4 linked regions of the Arabidopsis thaliana genome follow. The protein of the gene in region 2 interacts with the protein of the main gene of each other region in a pairwise test. Each region holds a gene or a part of one and is shown on either strand. Other genes may lie near its edges. The genes, in order: TEM1, LBD38, AT1G63840 and BBX26.

Region 1 (8,523 bases), on a different chromosome or scaffold from region 2:
CATTATATTATTCATTACCCCACCATATATATCAATAATACAAGTCATCACCAATGTTAATGACTTGTTGAACATATACTACATTACTATATCAAAAATGTTCATGGGTATTCTATGAAACGTAGTAACGTACTGTGATTTTTTCAATAAATTACAATTTCAGAAAATACTTCTTACTTTTTATAAACGAATACATGTAACGCCTACTATTTTCAAACGGATATCTTGAAATACAAAGACAGTGATCCATGTAATCAGGAGATAAATATCATCGGATTCAAATATCTTGAAATTGCGTTAAACACCTCTCTAAAAAGAGGTTGGATTAACAAAGCTGCTGACCCTTACCTTCTCCTAAAGGCCAAGTGGCCCTCCCTTTACCTCAAATACAGCTAACCATCACCTATTTATTTATGAAGAAGATATGTTTTGATATTAGATATTTTTTGGTTTAAATTTGAATCTTTTCTTCCAAAATGTAGACAAGATTGTCAGCCTTTCCCTTAGTAAACCAAGCAAATTGCGACAAAAATAATAGCATAAACTTTGTTTATTCGTATCTTATACTTTTTTTTGGTGTGTATTCGTATCTTATACTAGTCACTAGGGATTTTGTCCCAAAATAAAATAAAATAAAAATACTAGTCACTAGGGCGAGTCAATGGATTCTAAATTACGTTAATGCATTCATCTTTTGCTCTTAGACTTTGCTGAGATGTGGCATATCATTATTCATTAGCTTGGGATTCTAGTCTATTTAATTAGTTATACGATGTCTGTCATAGTCTAGGTCAATTATGATGGATTCGGTTCCTTTGATTTAGAATTAACTTATCTAAAATTATTTAGTCAGGTTAACGTCAAATGGAAAAGTTACTATTGAAAAATGGCAAAAATAGCAAAAAAAAACTTCACCGATTTTTTTTACCGATAGCATGCATTTTGCTAAAAAAACAAATTGTGTAAGAATTCGGTGAAGTTTTTTGACACTCTAATTTATTAATTGAAAAAATTCATGTTAGTGTGACCAAAAATATGGACTATATATTGAGAAACTAAAACATAAAAATTGATTCTTGTAAAAAGAAGAAATTTTTAATACTCATTTCATTTGTTACATCGTTCTTTATACCAGTTTATATTTCTCTTATTAAAAGCAAATTAATTTTGAGATGTTGCGAACTCAAAAAAAAGTTATATATATATATATAGTAGAAAATAAATGTCAAGTGAAGAAAGTTGAAAAACGTTCCAATGAGAAATCATTCCAACGCCATCAACCACCTAAATTACAATATCTCATCATGCAAAGTTTGCTAATACAAAAGCTAATGTAAATACTAACGAGAACTAGTTATATGCATGACGGACAAACATGTACGTCTTACTTAGTTTCTGTTGAAGTGGAGCTACTGCGTACATTTATAGTCAAAATTACGTTGAAAATTTAATGCACATCTACTGCCTAATGGTTCAATCAAAAGTATACAAGAAAATAAAATACTTGTACTGTTCGAGCGATGAACACATATCTCGAAATATTTGAAGGCTTTTGCTTCTTTCAGATTCCATAAGGCCAAGTATTTTTTTTTTATTTTGTCACTCTCAGAAATTCAGAATGTTTCTACAAATCTTATTTTGATGTTTATTGTAAAATTTGGCCCAAGAAAAGACGTCTAAATGAGTCACAATTTAACTAACATGAGTTGGGCTTATATTATATGTGTCATCTCAAGTGGTACCATAACCCACAAGTTTTAGGTTTCAAGTTCGCTAACATTAGAAAATCAACAAACGTTCGGCTTTTAAATGAGCATGGGCTTTTTGTACATCATGGGCTCCAAGTCATGAGAATTGAGAGCAATATTCAACAACTAAATGTAAGGGATTACACTAGTTTTAGAACATTTAACCATGTTTTCATGTTTAATCAGAAAAATCATTAGCTATTTACGTTTTTTGTTATAAGGATTAATTTTTATCAAAATTATGTTTAGTTTTAGTAACTAGTACTAAATATATGTTGACGATAATAAATTCATAAACAAATGATCTTTTGATTTTGTTTTCTTTTTGTTATTCTGAAAATACATTTATGTACATTTTATTTACTAAATTTCAACATTACTCCAGTGAATATAAATATCTTGCCAATGCATGTCTCGTAAGTAATTAAATGATTGAGAAACAAAAAGTTGTGGTTATTGTCATGATAAAAACAATATATGAACTTATATGCGAGTGTCCACATACATCATGTGTAGCCTTTAAGATCTAATTGATTCTTTTTAAACACAACTATACTTCGTGAAATAAATAAGATGCATGAATCTTAAGGCATAAGAAAAATAATTATCAACTTCGAGATGTATTTCTATTAAACATAACAATGGTTCTAAAATCGTAATCTAGATTCCGTGCATGTTCTTAATTATTTTGGTCAGTGTTTTTCCCCAAAATCGTACACGAAAAAACAGTTTTTAAACTTAGTTTAAGAAACGTACAAAATCTTTGAACGATCGACGTTGTTCTCCGCTTAAGCATCTCAACCACATAAATAGATTTTCGAATCGCACCCATGTTTTAATTGGACATGTTGACATTTAATTATACTATTCTTATAGATCGTATAAGATATTTTTCTCCAATAATGTATATTATGTATATATGAAAGTAAATGCATAAATATTAGTGTGGGATTATATACTCATAACAACTCTATTTCAATTGGAAAAATATGCTATAAAGTTGGCTATAAACCAAAGATTAAACAAGATTATTAGATTAAGGAGGAGAACACATATCATATTTCAGGAAAGGGTGAAAAAACAGATCCTAAATTAGATGTAAACAAAAACTATTTTGTCTAGTTGTCATTTTTTCTTGTCTTGTCCTAATTTACAACTTGTCATTTCAATACAAAATATTGAAAAAGGAGAAACAAATTGAAGAAAAAAAACCAAAAAAAAAGAATTTGTCACAAGATGTTGATAATCGCCTGCTTCTTGGAACACCCTAACGAAAACAAATCATCTTCCCGAGATCTCTTCTTGCCAACACACTCTACTGCGACGTCGTTTGGTTTCTCGTTACTCACATTGAAAATGTTGACTCCGAATAGCCTAACCACAGTCTGAACCGGACTAGACCGGACTTTCCAGTGGATATACAATTGCCGGTCTGGTCCGGTTGATCTCTCGAAACAAACCACATCACCGGCTCGAAGATTCTTCTCTTTAACGAACCGGCTCCAGCCCTTGGTCAACACGTAACTTTGACTGCTGTTCCAGTAACTGTAACGGAACCGCCACACTTTCCCTGTTCTATCTTCCAAGTTAATCAAAACGCCTTTCGTCGGAGACGGATTCATCCCCATCGCCGTCGTCATCGCCGGTAACGGAAAATGCTTCTCCGCGTGTTGTTTCGGTATCACTAAACGGTTCAGCTTCCCGACGTCGCTCGGCGTAACAGTCTTCTCGAACAAAACCTCACGCGCTCTCAAAACAGCGTCGTTTCCGTACGTCGCCGTCTCCAACCCAGAGCGTTTTCCGTCGCCGTTAACAAACTTCCGTCTACTCTGCTCAAACTCATCGGCGTAAGTGTGTTTCCTCAACATATCCACGATCTCAGCTTTAGAATGAGCGTCAAGAAAAGCCGATTCGGCGTCGTTTCCATCAACTTGAGATTTGAAGTTAGTGACGGCGTCGCGGCCGCGGAATCTCCTCACGGCGATGTCGTAAGAAGACGCAGCTTCTTCTTCCTCGTTGAAAGTACCGAGCCAAACTCGCTGATGCTTCTCGTAAATCTGAGCTCCCCATCTTCCGTTAGGCTGAGGCACAACGCCTTTATATTTCGACGAAGGAAGCTTACGTGACTCGGTCTCGACGCCGTTCTCTGAATCCAAAACGACGCTGCTTCCGCCGCTTCCCATTCTGTAGAGACGCATCGACGTCGCCGGCGGAGAAGAGAGTTTCTTCTCCGTCGTCGTTGTCGGCTTTGGAGTAGTAGAGATGGAGAGAGATTCTGACGTTGTACTACTGTCGTCTACACAGCTGTATTCCATATTTGTTGTGTTTGTGAGAGAGAAACAAAAAAAGAAGAAGAAATGGGTTAAGTTTTTGTTGCTTTATGAAGAGATGGGGTTTGGAGTTTATATATATACACAAGGAAGTGCATGTACGTTGTTGATATTATTTGTTTTGTTTTGTCAAAATTGAATAGGATAATAAGAGATAAATGTAAAATGTGGGTAATGTATGTGTATTTATGAAAGAAAGGTGAAAATAAAATAAAAGAGAAAGGAGAAGAGGTGCAGAGGAGTAGGGTCAAGTCTTGCAACAAATGGCAAAATGTGTTTTGTAGAGGAAGTTTCGTGGGAAGAGTCCAAAAATATGTGTGCTAGTGTCATAAAGTTTTATTTTATTTATTACATTCGTACTAATTTTGGTACCTTTTGATTAGTCCTTTTTTTATAATCTTGTTGTTGCCATAATTAGTCCCTTCATATGGTAATAAACTAATAATATATTACGTGTAACATGCGTCTATAAAAAATTTACAGAGAACGTGAACATCAATAGATGAATTTTTCTTAATGTTTTCACTAAAGGACAAAGAATAATTACAACACTAGCAATGAGATTCTTGATGTGGTTAAGAATGGTAAATAGGGCTAAGAAAAACCACATTTGACATTTCGCCCGATATTATTGATGTTTTTTTAAGAGAAAAGAAGTTTCCAAAAATCGAATGGTCCATACAAGAATAGTAGTAGAAAGATATGTAAAATTATTGAATAGAGTTGACTCGTTGAGAGATAGAAAAATGAGTAATGGGCGATGTGTAATAGCACAAATGGGGATAGAATAGAGGGCCAAGTGGGAAGGGGGTTCACATGAGATTTGGACCTTTTGTTTTGTTTTGTTGTGATTCTCTAATTAAATAGTGCATCCCCCCTTTGATCATGAGGCTTTTCTTGAAACTATATTCGTCCTTCCATATTTGGAACATGACGTGTCTCTTTACATATTTTGCTTTAGTTGGGGAGGTCTTGATCATTAGGTTCTCTTATGTTTCCTACAAGTCCTTACCTAGTTTGGTTTTTATCCCCTAAGCACTTTCTTTGTACGTAGAATCATAGTACGTATTGTTGCCTTTCTTACGCATTGTCTTCCTTTACGCTCAATTTCTCAAATTAACCAATACCACTCAAATAGGATATGTTTTCCATCCTAATTCCTAAAGTGACTTGTTCGAAACATATAAGAACAACTATTATTTTGACGGGTATGAAATGAGACGACCTATAATAATATTTTGAGATAATGATAAGACAACGTTGGAATACGCCAGCAAAGCCAAGACTCGTGATCTAATTGCCCACTATTTTCGGTTTACAAAGAGAAACAACATATCTTATTGATCTTATTAGAGTGACTAGTCCCTTCTTATCTATGCACGAAGCTTTGTTTAAGATCACATATTTTTAATAAAGATACATGAATGACGTCCTAATATTGTTATAGTTCTCGAATAAGCATCAAACGGTCAGATTTAGTTCTTCGTGGCTTCGTTATTTGATCATAAAAATTAATCCTTCTATGATCCACCAAATTAAACATATAACATTTTTATCAAATTGTACTACTATTTGATATTATATACGCATAACAAAGTACTGCATGCAGATTTATTCGACTATTTTAAAAAGTAGTGAGACTTAGTTGATGTTCCCACTTGCATTGGAACTATGCTTTTATTGGCTGAACTAAATAAACCAGATTCGTCCTAAACCATCAAACTCTCCTCTGTTTCTCTTTTGTTTCATTATATAGTTTTTTTCTTTCTATTTAATTTATTATACCTACATAATTTTAAAAAACTTATATCCACGTCGTCGAAGATAAAACTAACACAGTTGCCCTAGTTTGAATGCAAAACTTAAAACGTCAACTTTTTGTTGTTTTGATCAGTTTTCATAAGCAATAACTAATGAGTTCAAACATAATTATTGCTCAATTATATGAATTGGACTTAAATATTTAAGATATCAAGAATGGGGACAAGAAGAACAACATGATATAATACATTGTACATATGTGAAGGGGGGAGATGAATCATAAACCCAATGTATTTTGCCCATGAGCCATATTCTTGTACGGAGCAGAGTACCTAATTTTTCCACTTTTATATTGGTCCTACCTTCTTCCCTCAGATGTTTATCCATTTTGTTTGAAACAAAAGTAATACTTATCCCCTTTTTAAAAGATGAGCATATATATACTTGTTGAATAACCCTATCATTTCCTCAAATAAAATAGTATTTATAAGTCTTCTGTTGAAGATAATGATCTCAAGGACTTAAAGCTTAAAACCGAGCTAGTCAATGAACCATTTGATTAGTGGGTCACATACTCATCAGAGCTCCATTATATTCTACCGAAAAAAATCAAAATTCTGAAATGGAAAGATAAAATAGTTGATGTGTGACATTAAATAGATTAATTTTTAAAAAGTGATTTCATATTATCTTGGATCTTTATCAAACAACAACAAGCTAAAATGAGTTTGGTGTGTATGTATATATCAACGAACTTTATAAGGATATTTTAAATCTAGTACCACCGGATACAAGTTTAGATTTAAGGAAATTTATGTATCACGTCTCATTAACTTGCAATTGGTTATATCATCCACATCATTGACCTTCTTATGTCGAAACTTTATAATAGTAGGCTCTTTGTTTTTTTGGTCTGATCTTACCTTACTTTATCTAAAATTTCGATTAAACAGTAATTTGCGTTTGCCTAAAAATACAATGTTGGTCCGTCTCAATTATTATCAAAAGTTATATCACTTTTGGTGGAAAATTAATCGGAAGATAGATAGACTCATGTGTTGAATACATGTAATTAACATGCAAGATTGCCACATAACATAAATTAGTTGAGAAGGGTTTGGTGTAACTGGAAACGGTGTCGTTTCATTGAAGAATTGGGCCATGCAATATTGCAAGTGGGAAGACAACGAGTGAGATATGTTTCCAAGGACGAAAAGGTCAGCACTCAGCACCATCCTCCTCATAATTTCTTCTATCTGGACCCAAACTTCATCCTATTTTTAGTAATATTACAGTTCCATCTCAGTCGTTCATTTTAGATTCTTATCTTCCATTTTGGTATAATCAAGAGAATAATATATACATTACTCACAGATATATCAGTCTATAATAACATGAGAGTATTTTTGTATTGGGGATAATCAGGTTGGCCAAACAAATCAACTCAAATCCAGTGGAGTAGTAATTTAATAACATGGCCTAACTTAGGCCACCTTACCAAAACTAATTAAGTTGTATTAAATCATTTAGTGTGTGGCTCCCCACATTTTCTTAATTATAAATAAAAAACGTGATATTAAGCATGCTATTTATATAAGTATATAACCAACTCACTGGAAACCTAATTTTTAAAAATCATTATTGCAGACCTAATTGATGTATTTATAGTTTTAATTCCCGATCAAATCAGCTCCTTATACTATGCCATTTTATAATTCTAACTGTGATGTTGTGATGTGTTTTGACGGATTAATTAATTATGGGGAAGTTTTACAAAAAAAATCAATTGCAATTTTATTTGCAATTAATTGATCATTTTTGCAGATTTTTATGGTACTAATTAAGTCAATTGACCTCCTTTTTTTTTCTCCTCTTGAACAAATTTCAACCATTTATATCAATTAAAATGACGAACTGTTGGCGAAATGTCTTTTGCAACAAAAAAAATACTAGTTGCCGGAACAGTTTTTTCATAATACAGTATGATGGGTTTAGGCGCATACTAAAGCCATCTTTTGGCCAACTTTTATGATATAATTGACCTATATATATATAATATTGTATAATATTGTTTAGATAAAGTTAGTTGTTCCATGTGATCAACAAAAAAAAGTTAGTTGTTCATAAAGTATCATGCTTAATATAATGAATGTATGTTCCTCTTGCTAACATATTAATCCTGTATAGTTTCCATTTTCCAGTTAGAGAGATAGTCATTATTAACATAATTAAGTATAAAAGTATATTTTCATATATAAAAGTATCTATTGAGTTATTCTAATGAAACTCAATCACATATAACTTTTGTCAAATGCGGAAATTTCAAAACAGACAGTAGGTAAGGACTAAGGGGAACGAAAATTTTCGTTTGTGCAAAGTAAATCATGAGTAAACAACCCCATTATATTAATCAATCTCCAGTTTCCACTAACTAAACAAAACCAAAACTAATTTTCAATAATTTCCACATTTAGGGTTCCATGGTTTGTTACTAATTTTTTTTTTACTTGAATGAAAATGTGTTATTAAATGTTATAATATCTGCTTTTCTGACTTCCAACCCCTCTAGATCTTAATAAGTTTGAGTAATGAAATTTTGATTTTCACTGGTAAATATATATAGCACGACCAAAATCACGTAATTAAATTTGAGTATCTGATATTGCATTATAATGAAAAAATAT
Region 2 (8,775 bases):
ATCATACTATAAAACTTGAATCAATCCGACATTAGAAGAGTCGATAAAGATCAAAGACTAGAGTTATCTTATTTTTATATTTTATTTGTTAAACTCTATTTTTGCTTTAAGAAAAGAATATCCTAATTAAGTGTAAATGAATGTACGGCCAACAAAAGATTTGAAGGGGCAAGATGGCTCTTGGGTCCTCACCTTACTCGAAGAATGATCACACAAAACCCTAAGAACCACAAAAAATGTAGACCAAGCTAAGTCTTATGATCATCTATATTAATAACAAAATCAATCGTTAGAAATTAGATAGTGATATTGATCCACAAGAAACTTATTCGATAAACTCTTGAATAGCAAAAGACTTGAGAAAACTAAAAGCAAGAAACAAACAATTGAGATTGTTTTTTAAAGAGGTTCATATACAAAATCTCTGGGGATAATCGGGACATGATGACATTCAGTTACAAAAATTTCCAAATATGTGTTGTAGAAATTAATATATCACTTTTTTTTCTTTTTTTGAATCATTGTAATGTAAAATTTATTAAAAAGTCTTTGGTTACAATATATGCAGCTTTAAGCATAACGTTTTTTGAGTTTCAGAAAATTAATATATCACTTTGTATAGTAATGTACGAAAAAATTCATCAAGAACTATGTACGGTTACATATCAAGATGTTATGGTCTAATGTGTGTTTACCGGTTGATAAAATGTTATTTGGTAGCTAATATTCAGCTAACCCTAGTTTTTGTTTTATTTGAGAGTCAGATAATCATGTATATATAACTTTTGCAAAAATAAAAATTGAAATAATGAGAAAATATTACTTTACTATTATCATTCATATATATATAACACACCAAAAAAAAAATCATATATATATATATATATATCCAAAAACAAATCACTTACTTAATTCTGTATTTTATCCAGAATCATTATGAATTAACACACCAAAAAAAAATCATATATATATATATATATATATCCAAAAAAAATCACTTACTTAATTCTGTATTTTATCCAGAATCATTATGAATACCAACTTGATTTTGATGGTCTTAATTAATTATTTGATATTCTATTTTTTTGTCGTTATTTGATATTCTATTTAGATTGACTAGTTTTCTTGTGATCATTTGATAATCCACGTCGTTTTGTTTTCACCTTCAAATTTTTTTATTGATCACCATGTTTTTTGGAATACACAAAGTAGTAAATGTTTCATAATCATGTGAGACCTAGGGTTTTAATTTTCAACTTGATTATTTAAGTTTAGTTATTCCTTACTAATTTAACTACCATTTTCTTGACATTCATACCAAAGACAAATAATTAACTAAAGTTTTGTTCGTTTTCGGAAGAAAAGTTTAAGAAAACATCAAGTGGACTCACACACACCGACTTAAGTGGAGAAGGTGATGAAAGTATTGGGCCCATAAGAAACTGCGGCTGCTCGTGGCTTTTGGCATTAAACACGAATCTTGCTAATGTTATTTTATTCTCATTATACTTGATGGATTCATGTTTATCCATCCATATTGTTATATTGTATTCCCCAAATTTTTAAAAAGCGAATTCGTCTAGTATAGTTAGCTCCATAGTTTAAAAGTAGAAAAAGAAATTTAGCTCCATAAATTTTGTAACTCATGATTAGACACTAATTAGATGTAAAAAACAGACGAGATTGAACGAATGATGATACCCGGTTGTTGATAAAACTTGAAATGGTCAGAACTAAAAACTTATATTTTTCAAAAATAACATAAAGAGTCCGGTGGTCGGAAAAGGAAAGGAGAGTGACGTGGACCACAAGCAATTGTTTGCCCACTAGTGACTGGCTGGTCGAAAGTATATTTAAAATATGTCCCACTTCATAAGATCTTCAAATCACTTCTTCTGTTCCAACAACAATCCATTCTCATTTCAACGTTTCAAAAGCAAACATGTTATTGGTCAATTTCATTGTTTCTACGCCATCATCCATAGAGCAACAATACCTTGTTGTTTTTATTAAACAAAATGTGAAGAAGAATAGAAGAACAATAAAAAAAGAGTGCTTTTGAAGATTCCACGAAGGTATGAAGTGTGACATAAACGGCTCTTTGCGTCGTCCAAAAGCCGCCTCCCCCAAAAGCTTTCCCTTTATAACCCCAACTTTTTGGGTTCAACCCAACTACATGCATTATATAATGCATATCTACTCTATACATACAATTACTTATATTATGTAATGCACCTTGTTTAATCTTTTTTAGAGTTTGTATTCATCCGGAGAATGTGTGGTAGACTAATCTTAAACATAGAAAGAAACACATGAAGATGTACATATGCCATTGAGAGTGTTGCGAAGAAGACCGTTGCAGTACTAGTATAGGATAATTTGAGATATCACAAAAAGATCATCACATCTCGAGGAATACGTACTATTGTGTTATACTATTACTAGGTATCATTAAACCATTGAATAACAAATGTAGTATCGAAAGACAATAAACCTGGAGATAATAAATGCTAATATTTTGTTTTGCGAGTAGTAATCAAGATGATTATCAAAATAGCAAGTTGTGTATGATTGTGTGTACATTACAACATGTTGGTCCTTAAAGAATCGAAATATGTTGGGTGCGAAGACTTTGCCGGTGCTTTGGATTTGGAGAGATGTATATTTTGACTCCGATTCGTGATTATTATTATTAATGTTGAATATGTCGATAAAAACAAATAATTTAGTAGCTAATAAGTATTGATTTATCGTACACATTATCATTGTTATCTTTTAATTTGAATTCGATGAGAATGATGATTAATTGATTATGAACTAAAAATAAAATAGTACACCACCGACGAATTATATCATTATTCTCTATTACTTTGGATAATTTCTCATAATTAAAGAGAGAAATAAATCACGTAATTTGCTACATTTCACAAAATATTAAGGGCTATTAATCCAAAAAAGGCCACAACAAAAAGTTACTCGAAATTACATTTTTAACCCTCATAACAAAAACGACGCCGTTCAAGCGAAGAGATTGAGCAACTTTGTCGTTGCTCCTCCTCCTCCTCCGCCGCAGCGTACGTACCGATCACCGGCGTTGTTGTTTTGAAACGAAACCGTGGTAACAGACTCCTCCGAGTACATCGACGGTGTATCTTCCTTAAACGGCAAGGTTTTAATCGGATAAATAGGAATAAGAGAGAGATCAAGCTCCGACGAAGGTTGTTGTTCCGACGATAATCGTTTCCGTTTCGGCGGAGAAGCTGTTGATCTTGATCTAGATCTAGAGCTTGAGAATCGGCAGTGATGATAAATGTTCCGATCACCGGAATCATCAGCTTTTCGTAGATTCAACATTTCCGTACAGATCTCCGAAGCTTCGTCGGAAGTAGGAGACGGAAACCCGGCGAATCCACCGCCGTTAAGAAGCTCCGGTATTGGTTTTAAAGAACCACCACGAAGCACCGTCTCAACCGCCGCTTGACAAACATTCCAATTCCCCGTCCACAACAATCCGACGGCTCCGTTCACCGGATTCACAGTTCTCCCACAAGCTTCGTATAGCAAAGACTGAAACAAAGCTGTAAAAAGACCAAATACCCTTACCATCAGAAACCAAAACGACAACGTTTAGACGAAGATCTAAAGGACCGAGAGGTTTTTGTTTTTAAGTACCAGGGCATTGAGATTCCGGTACGGCGGAGATGAAAGACATTAAACCGGCACGGCCGAAGAACTTAGCGACGAAGACGGTGGCGTGGCCTTGAGCTTCAGGTGATTCGATCCATTGAATACATGGACGGAGGATGCAATTCTCACTGCAACCTTTTCGTAGAACTCGACAACCATTGCAACTCATTATTTTCAGAAATCTTTTAAGTTAGTATTTTATCTTTGGTTTTGCTATAATCTTGGAGATTCAAAAAGCTTTTGGTACAAGAAAGAGAAAGAGAGAGAGTGGGACAAAGTGTTTCAATGTTTGGTTGAAGAAGAAGAGTTATGTAATATTTATAGACAATAGACATTGATACTTGAGTGAAGGAATGGGTCATGGCTTTGAGATTTTATTATATTTTAATAAAAATTGGATAATAATCAAAGTTTAAAGAGCCCTACCAAATTACAAAATAGAATGATTGCTACAAAATATATTTATTTTATCATTAACTGAATTTAATTTATGCTATAGTTTATACAAAAAAAAATGTTATGTTAGGTTTAATTATGAAAGTTAAAAATGGTGTGTGGTTGTTGACTAGTTGGTGATGAGGAGAGAGGAAGAAAGAGAGATTCCAAGGTGATGGGTGCGAACGGCTCCGTGTCCCCGCGAATAGTTGCCTCCTCAACCATTGGTTCTTTTTTTCTTTCTTTATAAATTTCTCATTTCTATTCTTTTTCATATTCTTTACTTGCTTCATTTCTATATAAATGTTTGCGTCATGCATGAACGATCTCGATTATTTGATGGCAGATCTCAATTCTATCTATCCAGTGTTTATTCGTTGACAAATTTTTCGAATCTTCATGTCTCAAACAAAAATCAGTGTGATTAACATATATTATCGATTATCGGTGTAAAGAAAAGAAAAAAACCTAGCTTCTCATCTAACAACAACAAAAAAAACACATAGATTCTCAAATGAAATAACGCACTTCAATTTCAAAATTGAGATTTATAACTAATTAGATCATATTCTCTCTAGTTCGCTATTATTTGTTGAGCTATATAAGTGCCTCTCTTAAACTATTGGTCTCTATGAGTTTTATAAATATAGATATGGTTCATTCGTTCATGCAGTACGTATACTTTGTAAACAATTTATTTATGAAACCAATGAGATTGTTTTGTTTAGGGTTAAGGCTAAGCTGACCCTTCAACGAAACAAATCCACTACCTGACCCTTAAATCAACCTTAAGGGTTTTGATAATTTAATATGAAAAATGTTTTAGAAGAAAGATAGAGGCGTTTTTTTGCCTACGATGCTGTCTCACGTGTGTGACCAAATCAAACATTTCTTTTCTCCTTTACATTAGCTAGTAACAAAATCAAATATATGATGAACAGAAGATCTACAACAAAATGATATTAATAAGTCAAAGTGTCTTCTTCTACTTTCCTATAGCAATGCGGTGAAACGGCGCCGTTCATGGCTTACGTGGTGTGCTTACCTACACTCCAATTAGGCAAATTTTCCACTGAATGCCGCCGTCTCTTTATATTTCTTTATTCCCAATTACTTCAGTCCATTAGTAATTTAAAAATGCATTATTGTTTCGTTGAACTTCTGGTACCTAAAGTTCATTTGCTTAATTAGTCGACACAAGACACTTGAACGCGACAGTTTTGATCAACAACGACATAAAATTGGTGTTAAACAGATGCTTAGATGTTCGATAAATCAACTACTTATTTTTACAACGGTATTCCTATTTTAAATATCAATCTTATAACATAATTTCAATCTCAATTTTTGAAAATTAGTATTGTTTTGTGGCCCTTCTTCCAAAAATTTATTTTCTGAAGTGAATGCAACAAGATAGATTTTACCTTTATATATTTAGTAAAATCAATGTTATAAAATAGATTATAAGTTAGACGTACGGCAGAACACAATAGAAAAAATATTATATATACTTCAATGTTTATGATGTACAGTGGGAAGTCATATTGCATACAATAGAAAAACCAAAACTATTTCTTTGAAAACAGAACAAAAACAATGTATGAGACTTGTAAACTATTGAGAAGAAATGAAAGAAATTGTCAAATAGAGGTTGCACAAATTGCATTCCTACTTACATTCATTGATGTTCATTATATTATGCTATAAAACCTAATTACATGGTTAGATAAGGTGGGTTTGTGGACTTGTATTTCATGAGTCTATGGACTTGTGTTGGGCTTTAACATGTCCTCTTTCACGTTGAGTTCTAAATGATTAAATACTGGGCTGTTAATTGGGATATAATTTCTCAGCTATAAGAGCCGGTACACTATGTCACTATGGGCTCTACTGCATTTTTCGTATGGTCCAAAGTCCAAACAATGAGTCTTTGGTAAATTAATAGTTTAACACCACTTTAACGGTACCATGCCAAAACTAATTTGGATGTTATTGTAACGCTCGAGGGCCTTATTAGGCCTTATTACAAGCTAATAAGCTATATACTATGCCCACAAAAATTGGTGAAATTCTTTAGTTTCTAAGTTTCTAGCAATATAAGAAGACAATAGTACAAAGAGAATGAATGACCAAATCTTACAGACTTATAACACAAGCATTAGGTTATAGCCTAATAGGTAATGTAAGATGTAAGTATAAGCAGTAAGCTGCACGACATATTTTCCGTCTTATTTAGCAAGGTATTATTATTATTTTTTCCCACACCATTTTAGATTTAAAATTTTTGCTTTTGTCTTTTCAAAGCCAAATCTTAATTTGACGAAAAGTTTATACCGAACCGCATAATATCACATATATAAACAACATTTTTAAGGGATGAGTTTTCTGAACTCTAAATAAAAATCGGTTGACAAGAAAAAAACAAATCTTAAAATAATTCCAAAAATTCTTAACCATCAGATACTACAATATAGTTATAAAGAATAATTATAAGTCAATTTTTTGTGCCACCAAAAAAACAATATTTTCCCGGCATTTAATTCAGAAAATACCCAATATCCATATTTTTCTCGGAATGTATAACTACTCTTTTTCTTAGAAGATACATAAGAACTGGGATCGATTAAGACGTGTAAGATATTTATCGTAACAAATTATACAATTAATTAATTATTAAAAGACTCGTAAAACTCGTGAAAACGAAATAATACAGAATTATAAAAATAATTTAAGCGTGGAGGGAAGTGTGAGTGCCAACCAATCAAAGTCGACAAGCCACTTAAGGATTAGCTTCGTTAGGTACTACTAACCGATCTATCACTACTTCAATAATTAATACTAACATAACCCAAAATTAATACTATTTCTCCTATCAAATTATGTTTTTAAATAGAAATCTGAAATGTTTAATCAAATAGTTAAATTCTTAGGAACAGATCACTTCAAGCTGGGAGTGACAGATTCAAAGAAGTGGTTCCTTTGCTTGCGGAAATAGTAAATGAAAAATTAATCAAGTAATGAAGAAAAACAACAGTAGGAAGTTTCCATGAAATAGTAGTTTTCAATTTTCATTAATCCAATTCTTTTTATTATTAACAAAATTAATAATAATTTCAAATATATCCTTTTTTTTTTTTACTTTTTATAAACAAAAACCAACAACGAATAAACATTTGAAGATTATTTTCTTTCCATATACGTAAACAGAAATTAAAATAATCCAAAGTCCACTCCAATCATTTTCATTACAGACTCAGCTAATGATCAACCACTAGCTAATCCCGATCGGTAAAAAATAATAATAATCACAACACCGACTTTGTTTCTTCACCGGAGAGTTGACTTTTTCCAATTGTCTCATCACTAACTTGATCAGCCGGTAAATTTAGGTCAAACTTGTGGCTATTGTCACCGTTACTGTTACCGTTACCACCATCATAGTGACAACGTTTGTGACCACCCAATGCTTGACCAGAGGGAAACGACTTAAAACATATAGAGCAGTTATGAGTCTTCCCACTTTGACCAACTAAACCGTTACTAATATTTCCGTTATTAGTAACGGTTCCGTTACTATTATTAACATCGACACTAACCGGTTTCCGGTGACTTGTTTTGTGTCCACCTAACGCTTGGTAAGACGGGAAAGATTTGCCACAGACGGAACACTTGTAATCTTTCTGATGATCGGACAGTGGAGAAAGAGAGTGATGATCCGACGGTGGAGAGTGATGATCGGAGGAGCCACGAGCGAGCATAAGGAGGCAAAGAGCGAGATACTCTTCTTCAGAAGGAGGAGGGTTTGGTTGATCTATACGGTGACGTTTTGTACGTTTTCTTTTGGTCCATGATTCGAGGTTTTCGGGCTCGGTTTCGTCGAGGCAACGGAGGAAAGGAGGAGGAGCGGTGGTTGTGGTGGTGGAGGTGGGAGAATTGAGAGTGTCGAGAGCCATATGGTGGTGATCTTTGATTAGAAGATGATTGAGAATTGAGAGAGATGATTATAAAAAAAAGAAAAAAAAAGAGAAAGAGAGAGTGAAGTGAGCTGGTGAGGGAGTGAGATGAGATGTGAGCACGTCTTTGTTTTAATTTTTTTTGGGTGATTAAGAGTGGGAACGTGGGCTCTAAGTGATCAAGTGGTGCTTCTTCTCTTATTTCTCCATATCCATTAATATCTCATCCTATTTTCATCTTTTATATATTTTTCTTTAACATAAATTTATTTATATAATTGAACTAAATTCTTTCCAAATTTCCAATATATCAAAAATGAACGAAAAAAGAATATTAGAGTTTGATGCAGTCGATGTAGAATCAATGAAATAGAGATGAATTTTGAATGATCAATAATGATAAATTTGTGAAAATATTATAAAAAAATAAAGTAAATCAAAGAAAAACTATCTTTTCAGTGGCACCTTGTCCAATAATGCGTAATCTAAGAATGCCTATTTTAAAAATTATGTGTTGTGGGGGAAGTCATGTAACTATAAATGTATTAGAGTCTAACATCAAACTTTATTGGAAAGCCGAAAAAAGTAACACATTCACAAAGATGGAAAACTAAAGTACTTATCAAAGTTGTGCTAATTTTGTCGATAGGTAGCAGTCCAAATCATGAGCTGATCAGCTTATTCAATATCTTCTTCTTCC
Region 3 (7,976 bases), on a different chromosome or scaffold from region 2:
GCTGCTTCAGTTCTTGTATTAGCTGTCTTTGTACTATTTCATGTTCTTGTATCAACTCTTTTTCTTTCTTTTAAAGATCTTTTACTGTCTCTTCTTATCTTACTTCTAAAATATACATCATATTCAGACTCAGAATTATAAATAAAAAATGATGACTGTGTTTGAAGTTTGAACACATCTACAACAAACATATTTGATCATTATTAATACTGTATGACTTGTGTTGTTTGCGACAGATCTCAGTGGAAACAAACAATTGTTAGTAATAGTATTATGGTTTTTTTTATATAACAATTGTTAGTATTAGATAATAAATAGATAAATTAGCATTCCATCTATTTATAAACATTTCCATTCTATTATTTTTATAAAAACATTTTTTTGTAAGTTATTACAAACAAAACTGATTCTCTAAAACATTAAAATATAAACAAAATGATTGTTTGTGAACTTCTTGCATTTTTTTCCTAATTCGTTTTTCACTGTTGGAAACTTTGTGTTACAAATATTTTAGATGTATGAGTAAAGTCCGCACCAACATACATCGTGTGTCGATACAGGCAAAGTGTACGGTCTGACATATACGGATAATAAAATATGTTTGTATAAATTGTTAGAAAGAGACGATCCATTATAAAAGGTAATTAAAATAATTTTATTCCTGTGGGAAAGGAAAAGAAAAAGGCCGCGTGGTCCAAGTCAGTCCTCATGACCAATCATTATTTAACATAGTATGATTTATTCATATTTAATATAAAAATTATTAGAGCTCAGATTTGTTTTAAAATTAGTAGTAGCTTAAAATTTAGGGGTTTTCAGAATTAGTCTGAACACCAAAAAAAAAAAAAAAAATTGGTTCTAATGTGGAATTGGTTGTATTGAATAAAGTTGATTGAGAAAGACACACAGTATATGCTAATTATGGTTTAGCTGGTTGTTTAAAATAATAGAGTGATTAGTTGGTCGCTTACTGACAAAACGACAGTGTCTGACTTGCAAAACTGGAATGAATTTTGTAGTTTTCCGTTGAATTAGCAGACAATTTTCAACTTAAAGATGTTTACTCTACTTTTTTTTTAATTTAAAGCAAAATTCTTGTAATGTTTTTTTTTATTGTATCCTCTTTCATATAATAATTTTTAAATCCTGTAACGAATAATTAAAGCAAAACATGTTGTCACTACAGTAATCCGTACATAACAAAAGCAAATATACAATTTTTATTAGGATAAATTAGGTATCTTTGATTTTAAAAAAACTATATTGAAATTATAAATATGCTTTCATTTTCAAATATAAAAATTCTCTAACGATAATTATACTGAGTAAGAATTACAAAAAATGATTTAACCCTTGAAAATAAGTGGAAATAAAAGTTTTAAAAATTAAAACGGAGAAAACTTAATACGAAAAAAATCTATAATCATTGAATAGTGACCTTCATATAAAAGACCGTAAAAAAAAAAAAAAATGCGTAACCTATATTCACGATAGTCCTTACTCTATTTAATTTCCACAGTAAAAAAAATCGTATAAACTATTTTTTGAGCATTGCTCTTGAGTAATACATTTAGGTTACCAAATCATATGAAAATATAATAGTTTCTCTCTAATTATTTTCTCAATATTCTTAATCTGATTTCGTATTTATATTAATTGTCCAGACTCCAGACAAAAGGGATGAATCATGGCTGGATTTAGCTGTCCTACCTGTTAATATATCTCTACTGTCTAGTAACGCCAAAACCTGACAGTTAGTGATATATATTAGACTAATTAGTTATTCCCTAACCCCTGTTTCCAATTATATTACTCACATATATACATGAGTTTGTGATAATTAAACTTGATCTACTTAAACGTAGGTGATAGACAAATAGCCTAATGTTTTTTGTTCTCTCGCATCTTTTACCAAATACCGTGTGGTGGATTCAAGTTCTCCATAGAACATTTTAAATGTTGACAAGACAAGAATCTATTGGATTAAACATACAAATGGGAAAATTTATCTATTGAAATGTTATTTAAGTTAGATAAATGCATCAACAAATTGACGTATATGTACTTAACTGATATATATATATATATATGTTAATGTGTATATATATATATATATATATATACTATGTTAATGTATATAGTTATAGTTGCAAAAGAAAAAAGAAAGTGTTAAATTTTGGAATGTGAAATGTTGGAGGAGAAGATGGAGAGAGTGTGAGGTGGGTCAGTGCTGCTTTTGGCTCTTTCATTACATTAGTCAGATTCCCATATGACATGAGACTTTCGCTCTTCCTCAGAAATAGATCCCTTAATATTGTATTCTAGAAGTATATTTGACATAACGGAATCAAAAGCCAAATTGAAGAGCTATGTGGACTTTTCTACGTAATTAATTTAGGTCTTAATATACTTAGTATACACTCTCAAAATGCTAGTAATTAATATAGCAAATGACGAATATGTAGATTGATGATAGTTCAACTAGTCATGTAATGATGTGAAGATACAAACATAATATGCATTTGAACTCAAATCCTATCAACCATAAGTAACATTTGGGTACCCATATTTATACCAAAACGTAACAGCCAATTAAAAAATCTGGTAAAATTTCATAGAAAACGACGTAATCGTGATACCTTTGTTTACTACTAATCTTGATACTTTATGATTTACATCCATGTGAAAATAAAATCATGTAGACCAAAAATTTCTCATACAAAAACATTAAAAATAGAAATAATGGTTTTGCAATATTTTGTTAAAACAGTTAATTTTTTTAAAAAAATACACACGTATATATTCATAGTTTATATACTTTATAGGCTTATAGCATAGTTCAATAGAGGTACAGACAAACTGAAAAGAAATGAACCTAACTATCTGTCTTCACCTCGATTATTTGTCGTCTGTCTGACTATTTTAATTTAATTCTAATAATTTATGAATGTGACTAGTTTGGCTTATAGGCAAAGATCAATTTTTAGAGTGGGGTTATTGAATATTGTATTCTAACGGAATTGTATGTATTTTCAAAGACACGGTGACATCCACTGTCATTCAATTTCTATTTGATTTTGTTACATTTGAGTTTCAATGTATTATTTTGTCTAAATCACGAGTAAAACAAATACGAGCCTTTTATCTCTGATTTTGATGTATTTCTCATAAAAATTATAAACAAAATAATTATTCCCAAAATTGTTTTATTTCTCTTTCATCTAACAAAGAGATAAAGAATCAGAAGCATTTTGAGAACAATATAATGGCGAAGAAACTGCAAGATCCACCGATGGCATCTTCAAAATGGAGCCTTCGGCTTTGGAGGAGGAAGATCGTATTTTAAGAACAGAAATTCGATCATTCATCCAGATCTGATCCCTTATGTTGCAGTTCCCACTCTCTTTTTTTCTTTTCTTTTTTGCCATTTATGATGCAGTGACTCTTTGAACATGAGTGAAGTTCAAAGAGAACTCAGTCAAAATCCATACCAATTAACGATTAACACATTACAACGTAATACATAAGTCGTGTATTGTAGTGACTTTGTCAAAATCCAAATTCAGTTACGCTAAAATACATTGAAAACATCAATCCAATAATTTTGAACCAAAGATTCAAATAAAAACACGATTTTTTTTATTTTGTAATCGAACGATTTTGAACCAAAGTATAGACTAATTAATATTTGGGATTTTTAGAAAAGTTTAATATATTTAAACCCTCATGGGTTAACCTAGGTATGAGTTTTTTTTTTTCATTTGTAATATGTTGATTATGTGTATTCTTGGGTGCTATAAGCAGAAGTTACATTTCTGTCTCCGTATACCGTATTAAAAATAATGTATACTCAATTGTAAATATCTTTGATTATGTCATTATGTATTTCATGTATACATGTCTTTTCTCCTAAAACTTTTATACCACTTCATAAATCAAGAATTGTAAGAAAGTTAAAATTAAATAAACAGAAATTTAGTGTTTAAATCTGATTTAAAATGGAAATTTGAAAGTAACGAGTTTATTATATAGTAAAATACATATAAGAAATTATTTAAAACCCTTATTTAAATTATATAGAAAAAAAAAAGGTCAAGTAGTCTTCTATTATTTACTAGTATAACCTCTAGAAACATCATCACCACATTCCTGGCTAATATCCTTCATCTAGAACAATTATTAACGAATCAAAATACCAAAAAACAAAGCACCTCATTGACTATTAAATTAGTACTAATACATTAATTAAGTTATTATTCCTATATATAAATCTCACCCATTCTCCACCTTATCATCACAATCCAAAACTCTCTCTCTCTCTCTCTCTCTGTCTCTTGTCTTATCATTTATCTCTCTAACGGCGAGGCAATGGGTTTTCCGGTGGGATATTCTGAGCTACTTCTCCCAAAAATCTTTTTCTACTTGTTATCTTTCTTAGGTTTGATACGTAAACTCATCTCCACAATGTTCAAGATCATTGGTCTACCAGATTTCTTAGAACCTGAACCGGTTTCAACCTCATGGCCCGACCCACCACCCACGTTGACCAAACCTGACTCAGCAGCAATACTAGCCGGAGAGATGTTACCGGTTGTTCGATTCTCGGATATAAACCGACCGGAATCCGAGTGTTGCGCAGTGTGTCTCTACGATTTCGAGAACGACGACGAGATCCGACGGCTGACGAATTGTCGACATATATTTCATCGGGGATGTTTGGACCGTTGGATGATGGGTTATAATCAGATGACGTGTCCACTTTGTCGTACACAGTTTATACCTGATCATCTTCAACTGGAGTTTAATCAAAGGCTCTGGTCTCAATCTTCTGCTGTTTCTTCTCAACTTCTTGATGAATCATCATCTTAGGACGTATTAAATCTTTGTCCAAACAAAAAAAAAAGACATATTAAATCCTTTTTTTTTGGTACTTTCATTGGGAATTGGGTTTGGTGTGAGATCGATGTAAATATTAAACAAAAAAAAAAAGGTAGTGGTTACAGGTTAATGAAAAAAGAAAGAAGAAGAAAATTTGTACTTATCCATCCCTGAAAGATGAAATTACATTTTGAGTTATTATAAAGTTGTAAACTTTTTTTTTTTGTTAAGGAAAAAAAAAATCATTTGCTATAACAGATTAATACTGAATGTGTTAGTTTTTTAGTACAGTATTTTAATAAACATTGTTTAGAAGTTATTTTTTAATTGTTACTTGTTCACCTGGCTAACTCAATGATACTGACATATTGTTTTTTGATTAAAGGCTTACATCAATGATATCTTTCTTTTATAATTTAAAATCAACAAGCATTATGCATAGGTCATTGAAGATAAGATTGTTTGTTCATCCCTATAACATGCTGAACTAATATATTTCAACATGTATTTGAGGGTATTTGAAATGTTCTATAAGTGGTAATAACAAAACTGAAGTCGGAAACCGATATGATTATTCCCCACAAGTGCTAACATCATGTATTTAGGTTCTCATCCGATGACATGTCTTGAAAGAAGCAAAAATTAATGGCGAAATCGTCATGAATATAGATATATCTTGGACATTGCATTTGACTTTTGTTTGATCACGTCTCTCACAAAGGAGCTTGGTGTGTCCTTTACGATTTATCATGTGATCTATTGTGACAATGCTGGAGCTATCTATCTATGGGATAATCATTTTGTTTCATTCTTGTTTGAAACATGTGGCACTTGACTATCATTTTATCCTAATCATGTTTTTCACTCCCGGTTTCTTATGTATTGTTCATATTTCGTCAAAAGATCAATTAGCAGATACATTCACCATATTTTTTGCTTACTATATTTTGCTACTTGTTTTGACAAAATAAGCTAACCTATATCTATCATTTATATTGAAGATAAGTATATAAGAGCTATCTAGTAAATATGTGTAATTTACACTTTTCTACTGAAACTAGAACTTTTACTTGTATATATATCCCAAGTTATGTTCTTTGTGTGGGAAAAAAAAAGTTAGGTTTCTTTGTATAAATATAGTTGTATCTCTATCATTAATCACTAAAAAATAATCTTTCGTCTATACAAGAGACCACAAATGAACTCTTAATCATTGGGAATTAGGACTTTTAAGAGCCAAACAAAAATAAATAAATAATCATTTGGAGTCTCGTAATAGAAAGAGTTGCAAAGTGGAATATGTAAAACTGGTTTGTGCAAAGGCGTGACGCGAGGAAGCTTCCCATGTGAATGTAAACTTTGGAGTATGTTATGCTGTCGCGGCGTGGCATACGTGGACTTGTCTGTGCGTGTGCTTATTTCTTTCAATACCCTAACTCAATAGAGCCCACACGTTTCTAATCATTTTTTGCTTTCCGTTTACCACATAAATTAAATTAAACCCTTTTGAACTATATAGTATATCGTTAAAATAACGTATAGTAAATTATGTTTAATCTTAACCATTTATTTTATTTTGACCATTTCATTATTACATGTGGTTTACCAGCCAGAACTTGCGCCATCTTATATGATGATTCAAAACATTGCTCACAATTATAAAAAAAAAACTATGATAGTTGTACAACTTATATTGAAATATAGAAGAGTAGTATGAGTAAACTATACATAAGTTTGATTTAAAAAATTGTGAATACAGTGATTTTTTTAAGCATATAGTGGGAGATATCGTTTTATAAACTGATATACAACTCTTCGAACATTTGTTGTGGTTGACCCACTTTGACTACAAAGCCTAAAGGCAATTCAAAAGATGGTATGAATGAATCATTAGCTCTATAGTTTATAGTTTTCGACATTTTCATTATACCTAGATATACCCTAAGCAACATTGCTCATCCTCGATGGTTCCACGTCCACCCTCGTGCGCCAATTGGAACAAAAACAATCGATAAATAAGTTAAAGTGAACATTGTACACATGTGTTACAAAGACAATTATGTTCCGAAAAAAGGAAAAAGCCTCCTCTGGTTTGCATTAACTAGCTTATTTAGCCTCTTTAATACCATCAACCTTTTGTATTATAAAAATGTTACCAAACACTTTTTGTTCATCAGGTAAGAGTTTATGCAAACAACTTTGATCATGAAAATTTCAGACTTTCAAATGATGTTTGCTATATGTAAGTTCTGATAGTATATCGATCCAAAAAGCCACTGACACCGAGTTTTATTTTTCCACAATTCTTACCTCTTGCTTGTAAATCCGGTTTGAGACTGTACTTAGATTCTTAACTGATTGAGATCAATGCAGAAGATTCTCACAAAATTAATCGGTTTGGTAATAAGTTCTAAACCAGAACCACACCGGTTTGCATATCTCATCCCTCCGTGTAGGATTTTGCGATTTCCAGAGAGAGAGAGAGAGAGTGAGACTGAGATTGAGATTGTAATAGCTGGATCATTATAAAAGTAGTTTGTGATTGTGAATTGAAACATTCGTCTGGTTTCGGATTTGATGGTATTGTGGAACAAAATTAATTAACTAGTTTTGTTTTGCTAAACTTGCTAAGTTTATAAATTGAGTTAACAAGTTAGGTAACTAATACATATGTTGTTCTTTTTCTTTACTTAAATACCAAAGTCAACAAACCAGTTGATGATAGCAAAAGCTTTTCAGACATAACCAGAGTACCAATACCTCAAAATAAATAAATCGCAGAAATAAGCAGAGGACAAAGCTGAACAATATAATAGTTCTGCACACCTAAACCAAGTAACAACAACACTTTGACACATAAAATGAAGATACTGGTTAAATTTCTTAATGCTGAGGATAACCGGGAGGCGGGTAAGATGCAGGAGGGTAGCCTTGAGCAGGCGGTGGATAGGACTGAGGGTATCCGACTGGAGGAGGGACAGGTTGATCAAAACGAGACATCTGCTGAGCTGGTGGCACACCCATTGGCTGCGATCCAAACACTCCATCTCTTTTGTCCATCTCAAGTTTGTGTTGTGTCTGCAAGCAGAAAATTGGAT
Region 4 (7,516 bases), on a different chromosome or scaffold from region 2:
TATTTAGACACAAAATTGCTCTTTTTTTTTTTTTTGTATAACACCCAGCTAGTTTTCAATTTTCATAAAAGTACATGAACCATTTTTGTATATACTCAAAATATACACATTGCATTTCGTACGTAATAGAAATTTAACTTCGATATGGGTGATATTAAAGCTACTTTTGTAGACTTATCAGAAACCATTTTTTATTTGTGAATCTTTCTTTACTTTTTCATGGTGTATATTTTTTTTGAAGATTCATTATTTGATGGAATTTTCTACTTATCGTTTTCGTTTTGTAAATAGAAGCATTTAACTTAAGATTATAAACAGTTATTGAGAGTTAAGACATTGTAGAATTTTAGTTGAGTATATCAAGAAAATGTATTTTTTGCTTATGTTTCAAATGTACAATGAAATCTATTTTTGAAGTCTTTGATTACACTTTGATTTATTTATCATTTTGTGATATCTCCTTTTTTCGCAAACTAAATTTGGAATATTGCAGTATATTTAAGATAGCAACAACAATTTTTTTTTTGTGTAAACGCAACAATAAAATTATTTAATCGTAGGTAATGTCTACATTTAGTACTGTATATATATTTTTTGTTAGGTCAATTGAGAATCATGTTTGAGAGCAAATTAGCAATAGTATCAATGTATAAAAGAAAATTATGCCTTTGGATAGAGAAATCTAATCTTAGAAGAATTCCAAATTTGGAACTCGATAACAAATCCACCGACCAATCACCCTACATCTAAATATTTCTTTACAAAATCAACGCAATTGCATAACCAAAAATAACACTTAAAGATGCCACAGTTTTAAAACGATTCCACCAATCTTTCTTTTCAATTCTAGTAACATAAAGATTGTACAGAGACGATTTGCCCCAAACAAACAAAAAGATTGAACAAAGATGAATGAGAGAAATCAAGAAACTGGATAATGAGAATACATGAAAATTCCCAAACAACGGGTTCAATAACGTGACACCAAAAACAGTAATCGAGTGTTCAAATCCAGGATCAGAATATCAGTGATTCATTTATAGTAACCTCGAATGTGCTGGGCCAACATGTAGTCAAATGGTTGTGGATACAGACGTCGAATCTTGCAGATCACGTAATCTTGTTTCCACGTACTTGCAAACCTATACTCTTCCATCGCCCAGATTCGTCTATCTCTTACTCTTCTCTTCTCCTTTTCCAAGAACTTAAAAACCGATTTCGGTTTCCGATCAGTTTCACAGAACTTATAAACCTTCTTTAACCCTAGAATCTTCCCGGTCGTCACCGACTTGATCACTCTATCACGACCGATGATTCTCCAACAACCGTATTCACATCCATCGGTTAAACCTGAATTCACACTCCGATTAACGAAGAAGTATCGTCCGAAGTGTAGGATTATAGGATCTCTAGTAACGAAAAGCGTCCACGGATTCTTGCAGTACACGTCTTCGCTTCGGAGGAAGTGGCGAGGCCAAACGTTTACGTTATCGATCATCATCTTCAAATAATTTGCGACGATTGCTTCTTCGATTGATTGTTCACGTCTTGACTTCATCATCTTCGTTCTTCAGTGAAACTAAGATCTCTTAGAAGAAGAAGATTTAAGGAAAATGCTGATGATGATTGATGAAGGGAGAGAAACAAGAAACGGAAGATGTAAAATATGAAGATGATAGTGTTTCTTGGGAAAGAAGGTACTCTATATATAGAGAGGCGCTTCGTCATCTGTTGGTACCGTTTATATCAAATTAGTGAATTGACCGATTTGTCCTTTGTTTTTTTCTCTTCGATATATACACTTAACGAAATTATTCTATAATCTTTGCTTATTGAAATAATTAGACCGATAGTTGTCAATATTTGTATATTTTACTTTGGTTTAAAGATGTAATATTAAGTTCTTAAATAAGAACTAAATTAGATCTATTTAACAAAACGTGAAGAATTTGCATTTTTATTTCGTTCTTTCCTTTTACAAAATGACTATGTTTTCTCTTATTGAAGAAAATAGTCAGAAATAAAATATTAATAAAAATTATTTATTATACAAGCATATTTTCTTGCAGAACATCATGTAACTTTTTTTAACACAAAAAAGGTCATGTAAATTTTATTTGTACTATTTTTTGTCGTCATACTAATCAAAATCTTCTACTCTGCTTACTAATTGTGAGATATTCACGTAAAGTACAACAACAACATCAAAAATCAAGATAATTAGACGATTTTATTGAGAAAATCACATCCCCGGAAATATTGGAGTTGGTTCTTGACTTTCTTAAATAAAATTAAAATCGCAAAGTGAAATTTAATTTTATTGTTGAAAAAAAAATATTATTTAATTCCTATAAACCCCTTAAGCATCGATTGTTAATCAAATTAATTTGTGTTCTTAACATTTTAGCAAAATTGTTTTATGTTTTTTCGGTAATTGTGGTTTCTAGATAGTTTCTAGTTAAATGATGAGATATACATACATCAAGATATGATATCTTCCATCCTCGAACAAATTGGAGTTAGTTTTGACATTTTATTTTCTTCTAACATATTAAATCCAACTGATTGTTTTTTTTTTCTTCTTCTTTTCTTTTTCAAATCCAGAAGCAATTATAACACCAAGAATTAAACCCCTAACGAAAACTCTAAGAAACACACATAAATAAAAAGCTAAAGAAGACGATTTTCTATTCACCTACCAAACCAAGAAAAATCATCAACATCATCTAGATAATCATAATTAATATCTTGTTGAGGTAGTTCTGTTGGGGGCGTAACTGGAATCCCCTCTGCCGCAGGAGGATGAACCGGTGGGAAATTAAACTGATAGCCGCCAATGAGAAAACGGCGAGAAGGTCTCTTGCAGATTACGCAAAGCTTACACCTCGAATGCGGCGGCACCGCGTCCTCGTGACTGTGAATCATCCGGTCGCAACTATCGCATAGAATCTGGTTGTGTGTAGGACAATAAACAACAGCATTTGAATTCGAAGCTACGCATAACTCACATCTCATTGCAAACATCCATCTCTCGCAATTGTTATCCCCGTGGCAGCTCCTCTCAAACATCTCTGCTCTTCTTTGGTGACCACCCACATGCTGCTGCTGATGATTATTGTTATTGTTATGGTGAACCACATGAGGCATATGTGCATGATCATGGTGTTGATTATTCATGTTAGCGAAGACGACTTGAGTTTGATGGCCATTAGTGGCACAATTGTAATGGTGCGAATAACATGATTGACAAAGAACCATCCCGTCCTCATAACAGAAAAGTATAGACGGATACATCGAGCAGTTATCGCAAAGTTGGTAACGTACGTGTTCTGCATGTATGTTATTATGATGGCGAAGGTTGTCACATGTAAGGCAGAAGTTAAGAGCTTCTGTAACACAATGGATCACGGCTGTTACATGTCTACATGTGTGACAAACTTGAGCCATGTTTCCTGAAAAATATTCATATAAGATTATAACAAAATTATCAACTTCGCAAAACGGAAGAGAAGAAACACGAATTTAAAATAAAAAAAAACATTCAACTTACACGAACCAAGGAGAGAAGGAAGCCAAAGTTTTGTTTTCTCTGTGAAACAATCTGTGAAGCTCGTATTTAGATGGAGTTTCTAATTTGTAGATTTTTTTTTAACAAACTGATTATGTAGAAGGATATATTTTACTAAGTTATATACTTATCTTTAACTATAAATTATTCTCAAAATTCAACATTACATTTATTAATTGAGAATAAGAAAGAAAAAAGATAATTATATGATATTTGAAAAATTGATCCTTGTTTCTCATTTTTTTGTTAAGAATAAAGTTTTTTTTTTTCCTTTTATCGGATCTTAAAGATCAGTAAGAATAATGTCGTTTCTTAAATTTTGATGTAGAAATCTTTTTTTTTTGAAGAAAAAAATATCCCAACTTTATCAACATAACCAAACGGGGGACAAACAGGTAAATTAATGAGTTTTTTTTTTTTGTATAACTATTTTGCTTTAGAGTTTAGATTGTTAGCTTAGTACTTACATACTTAAGTTTCTGATCAGTCTTTGTTATGATTTTCACATGTAGGTAGGAAGCTGCGCTTTTGTTCTTTTTAATGTGGAAATGCAGCCTTAACAATGGATGGTATATGAATTTGAAGCTGCTCTTTTGTGTCTCTTTTTTGATGCGGATTAGCATGCTTTTGTGTAAAAAACAACTTTGCTAAGAGTTACTAACTATTCAAGTGTTTGTATGGTTCTGTAATATGGTTTTTTGATACAATGCTAGCTTGAACTTGATGTCATGCTTAGGCCTGGGTACGAATTTCTTTTTAGCATTTAAAAACGGGCAATTCTTGTATTCAGCATCTGTGATTTCTCATTATTTTGTCGTGTAAAGTTACTAAACTAGTTTAATTTAGAATTTATAGAAAAAAAGAAGTGGCTCTCATGACAAGTAGTCTAAATTCAGTAGAACATAAGAGTTATTTCATCACAGTACTAAGAGGAAGAAGAGAAGTTGCTCTGCAATTCCTTGATGCCTTTGGAATCAAGAAAAGAAGTTTTGCCCTTGAGAAAATCAGAGTACCAATGAGCAGAGAGTCTAGGAGATCTCTTGCGATGTGGATCACTGAAATTTACAGAGTACAATCCATAACCATAATCGTACCGCCCTATAAGCTCGAATAAATCCATAAATGACCATACAAAATAGCCTCTAGTGTCTGATCCATTCCTACACGTAGCAATGTCCTTTTCCTTAATTACACGAACAAGATAAGAGAAGAAAAGATGCAATAAAAAAACTTTACTTACCTTATGGATTTGAGCACACCACCAATGTAAGCATTCATGTATTCCACCCTATGTGTATCCTTGTGTTGCGTCATCGGTGTACCTGTTTGTATATGACATTTTAAGTCCAAATCAAAAACATGAGGGAGAGACGAATAAATTAATCATAGAAGAGATTGACCATTCTCAAGAATGTAGACAGGAGGATTGTCATAGCTCTGCTTTATATACTCTAGGACAGCTTCCATAGTCCACGGAGCAACAGGATACTTGTCCAAACAAAAACAAAACAAACAATGAAAGATAGATTAGTAGCACTTATTTGTTTAAAGACTTATAATGTCAAGGAATATAAGGTGTTTTGTATCTGAATTTGGTAGCCTTAAAACTCTTACCTCTATAACTGAAAAATTCCCAAGGTCTTCTAACCAGTAAAACGAAGAAAAAATGAGTAGTAACAAATTATAAAGATAAAAGAGGTTTTTTTTTTGTTATACAAAAGAATGAGTCTGATTCATACAAGTCACATATGCGCCCATGTCTGAGTAGAAGTCCGGGTTTCCAGAAATAGAAGGTTTGAATTTGATGTTTGTGACAGAAGCCGCAAACTAATGATTGATTCCTATGAAGTCAGATGAGCCTTTAACTTGTTCTGATTCTTCCTCTGAGAAAACTGGCAGTCTTGATCCAATGGTTCTTTTCATTGTATCTGGATAGTCTCCAAATATAAGAGGTCCAAGGAACCTGAGTTTTAAAGAGCAGATTTTCTTTCTTTTCAGCTTAAGATCTTGCACATGTTGCCCAATTTGAAAAACCTTTTAGAACTGTTTGTGCCTGACTCACCAACCGAAATAGAAATCTTTGGCTCTTTGAGTTGCAATGGCATCATCCTTGGAGCTTGTAGAAGGAGTCAACCCCATTAAATATAAGCCAAAGCCTATGGAACCACCCTGCTTATCCTGCACATTGTATATAGTATGTTGCTTCTTATACATTCAAAAGAGGGTTATGTATAAGCAAGTATACCTTGTACTTTTGCTTATATAGTCTTGAAGCAGAGGCGTGCGCAAGAAGTAAGTTATGGCCTACAATATATGTTTCAGTAGAAGAGTTCCCTAACAAGCAGTTTTTGCCCGGTAAAGAACAACGACCAGGCGGTGTATCCCCATCGTTGTAACCTCCAATAGTAAATACATTAGCCTCATTGATAGTGGTCCAGAATTTGACATAGTTCCCAAACTCTCTGAAACAAACATCTACATAAGCAGTGAAGTCTTTGCTACAATGCCAAATAACACCAAATTTAGTTTCACATAATACTGTCCTAGAAAATCTGTAAAAGAGATTTAATTAATGTTGTTTTTTCTTAGCCTACATCATCATATTGTTGACCCATCCTCCATATTCATCCTCAAGATACTGAGGATGATCGTAGTGATACAGTGTAACATGTGGTTCAATCCCATGGGTTATTAATTCGCTGATGAGGTTCTTGTAGAACTGTAGACCCTTTTGGTTAACAGAGCCTCTTCCATCTAATGAGATAAGAGCTAATTATAAAGTTGATCCCTTCAAGTGAAACAAAACCGGCATAAATGTTTAAGAAGGCTTACTAGGTATTAGCCTAGACCAAGATATAGAGAATCTGAAGGCATCTAAGTTAGTGTCTACCATCAGCTTCACATCTTCCTACAAAGTCACAATGAAGTCAGGCTTGATGAATAAACTATATAATGTAGTAGTAGTCACAAGGAGAGAGTAAAGCAGAAAAGAGAAAGAACCTTATACTTGTGATACCCATCACATGTTACATCTCCGTTACCAATGTTACCTGAAAAGTTAGAAACGAAAAAATTGATCAGAAGCATAAATAATTCAAAGGCAACAACTAATCTCTGTTTCTAAATATATCTGTTCAAATACTGATGCTAATAACAGTTTATGTTAAAATGAAAGCTTACGAGAGTAACAAAGAGTGTCCCACACGCTAGGTTTCCTTCCATCTTCCGCAGCAGCTCCTTCCCACTTGCAGAGATCAAACATTTGGTTCAAAAATTCCAAAAAAAAAAAAAGCTTAGGAATTGATTCCAAACCTGATAAGCAGAAGTGCCAGCTCCGAAGAGGAATCCCTCGGGGAAATCAGATCTGCTGAAAACGTCGCTGCATCTCCCGGGGAAAGCAAAAGATAGAAAAATGGTAAACAGAGCAAAAAACTGTTCCATTTCTAATGCTCTTTCTCTTGTACTGCTACTAGAGATAATATTTGTGTGACGAAGAAACAAAGTATATGGTCCACTGTATTTATTTAAAGTGTGTAACACGTGTTGAAATAAATAACTCTAGCGTTTTTACAAAAAAAAAGCCTTTAGTTTTGAGTTTTTCATACATTATTGGGATTTTTTTGCACTGTTTTCAGTCCATTTTGAAATAAGAAGCAATTCGGTTATCAATATTTGATTGTAAAATAAATGAAAACAAATAATATTCGAATGAATTTATTACGCTTCTCATTATGACAACGGATTCATCAGAATATATTATTGCAATTCATTACTAGGAGTAAGGAGAGAGGTTGCTCTGCAATTCCGTGATGCCTTGAGAACCAAGAAAAGCGGTTTTGCCCTTGAGAAAATCAGAATACCAATGAGCAGAGAGTTTGGGAGATCTTTTGCGATGAGGATCACTGAAATTGACAGAGTACAATCCATAACCAACATCGTATCCCCCCT

Evidence for each region.
Region 1: the proteins of LBD38 (region 2) and TEM1 interact in a two-hybrid assay, tested with the Arabidopsis thaliana proteins (one large-scale study listed by BioGRID).
Region 3: the proteins of LBD38 (region 2) and AT1G63840 interact in a two-hybrid assay, tested with the Arabidopsis thaliana proteins (one large-scale study listed by BioGRID).
Region 4: the proteins of LBD38 (region 2) and BBX26 interact in a two-hybrid assay, tested with the Arabidopsis thaliana proteins (one large-scale study listed by BioGRID).

The regions. Positions count from the first base shown.
Region 1 is NC_003070.9:8,978,914-8,987,436, forward strand, and holds TEM1 (AP2/B3 transcription factor family protein), read right to left. Parts: upstream 4,402-8,523; 5' UTR 4,064-4,401; coding exon 2,978-4,063; 3' UTR 2,643-2,977; downstream 1-2,642. UniProt on the Arabidopsis thaliana protein: Transcriptional repressor of flowering time on long day plants. Acts directly on FT expression by binding 5'-CAACA-3' and 5'-CACCTG-3 sequences. Functionally redundant with TEM2.
Region 2 is NC_003074.8:18,509,546-18,518,320, reverse strand, and holds LBD38 (LOB domain-containing protein 38), read right to left. Parts: upstream 4,056-8,775; 5' UTR 3,857-4,055; coding exon 3,673-3,856; intron 3,579-3,672; coding exon 3,019-3,578; 3' UTR 2,190-3,018; downstream 1-2,189. Other genes in the region: AT3G49930 (C2H2 and C2HC zinc fingers superfamily protein), read right to left, coding at 7,428-8,075.
Region 3 is NC_003070.9:23,686,884-23,694,859, reverse strand, and holds AT1G63840 (RING/U-box superfamily protein), read left to right. Parts: upstream 1-4,052; 5' UTR 4,053-4,368; coding exon 4,369-4,869; 3' UTR 4,870-5,257; downstream 5,258-7,976. Other genes in the region: AT1G63830 (PLAC8 family protein), read right to left, coding at 7,762-7,956.
Region 4 is NC_003070.9:22,214,386-22,221,901, forward strand, and holds BBX26 (B-box zinc finger family protein), read right to left. Parts: upstream 3,448-7,516; coding exon 2,692-3,447; downstream 1-2,691. Other genes in the region: AT1G60240 (NAC (No Apical Meristem) domain transcriptional regulator superfamily protein), read right to left, coding at 1,034-1,561.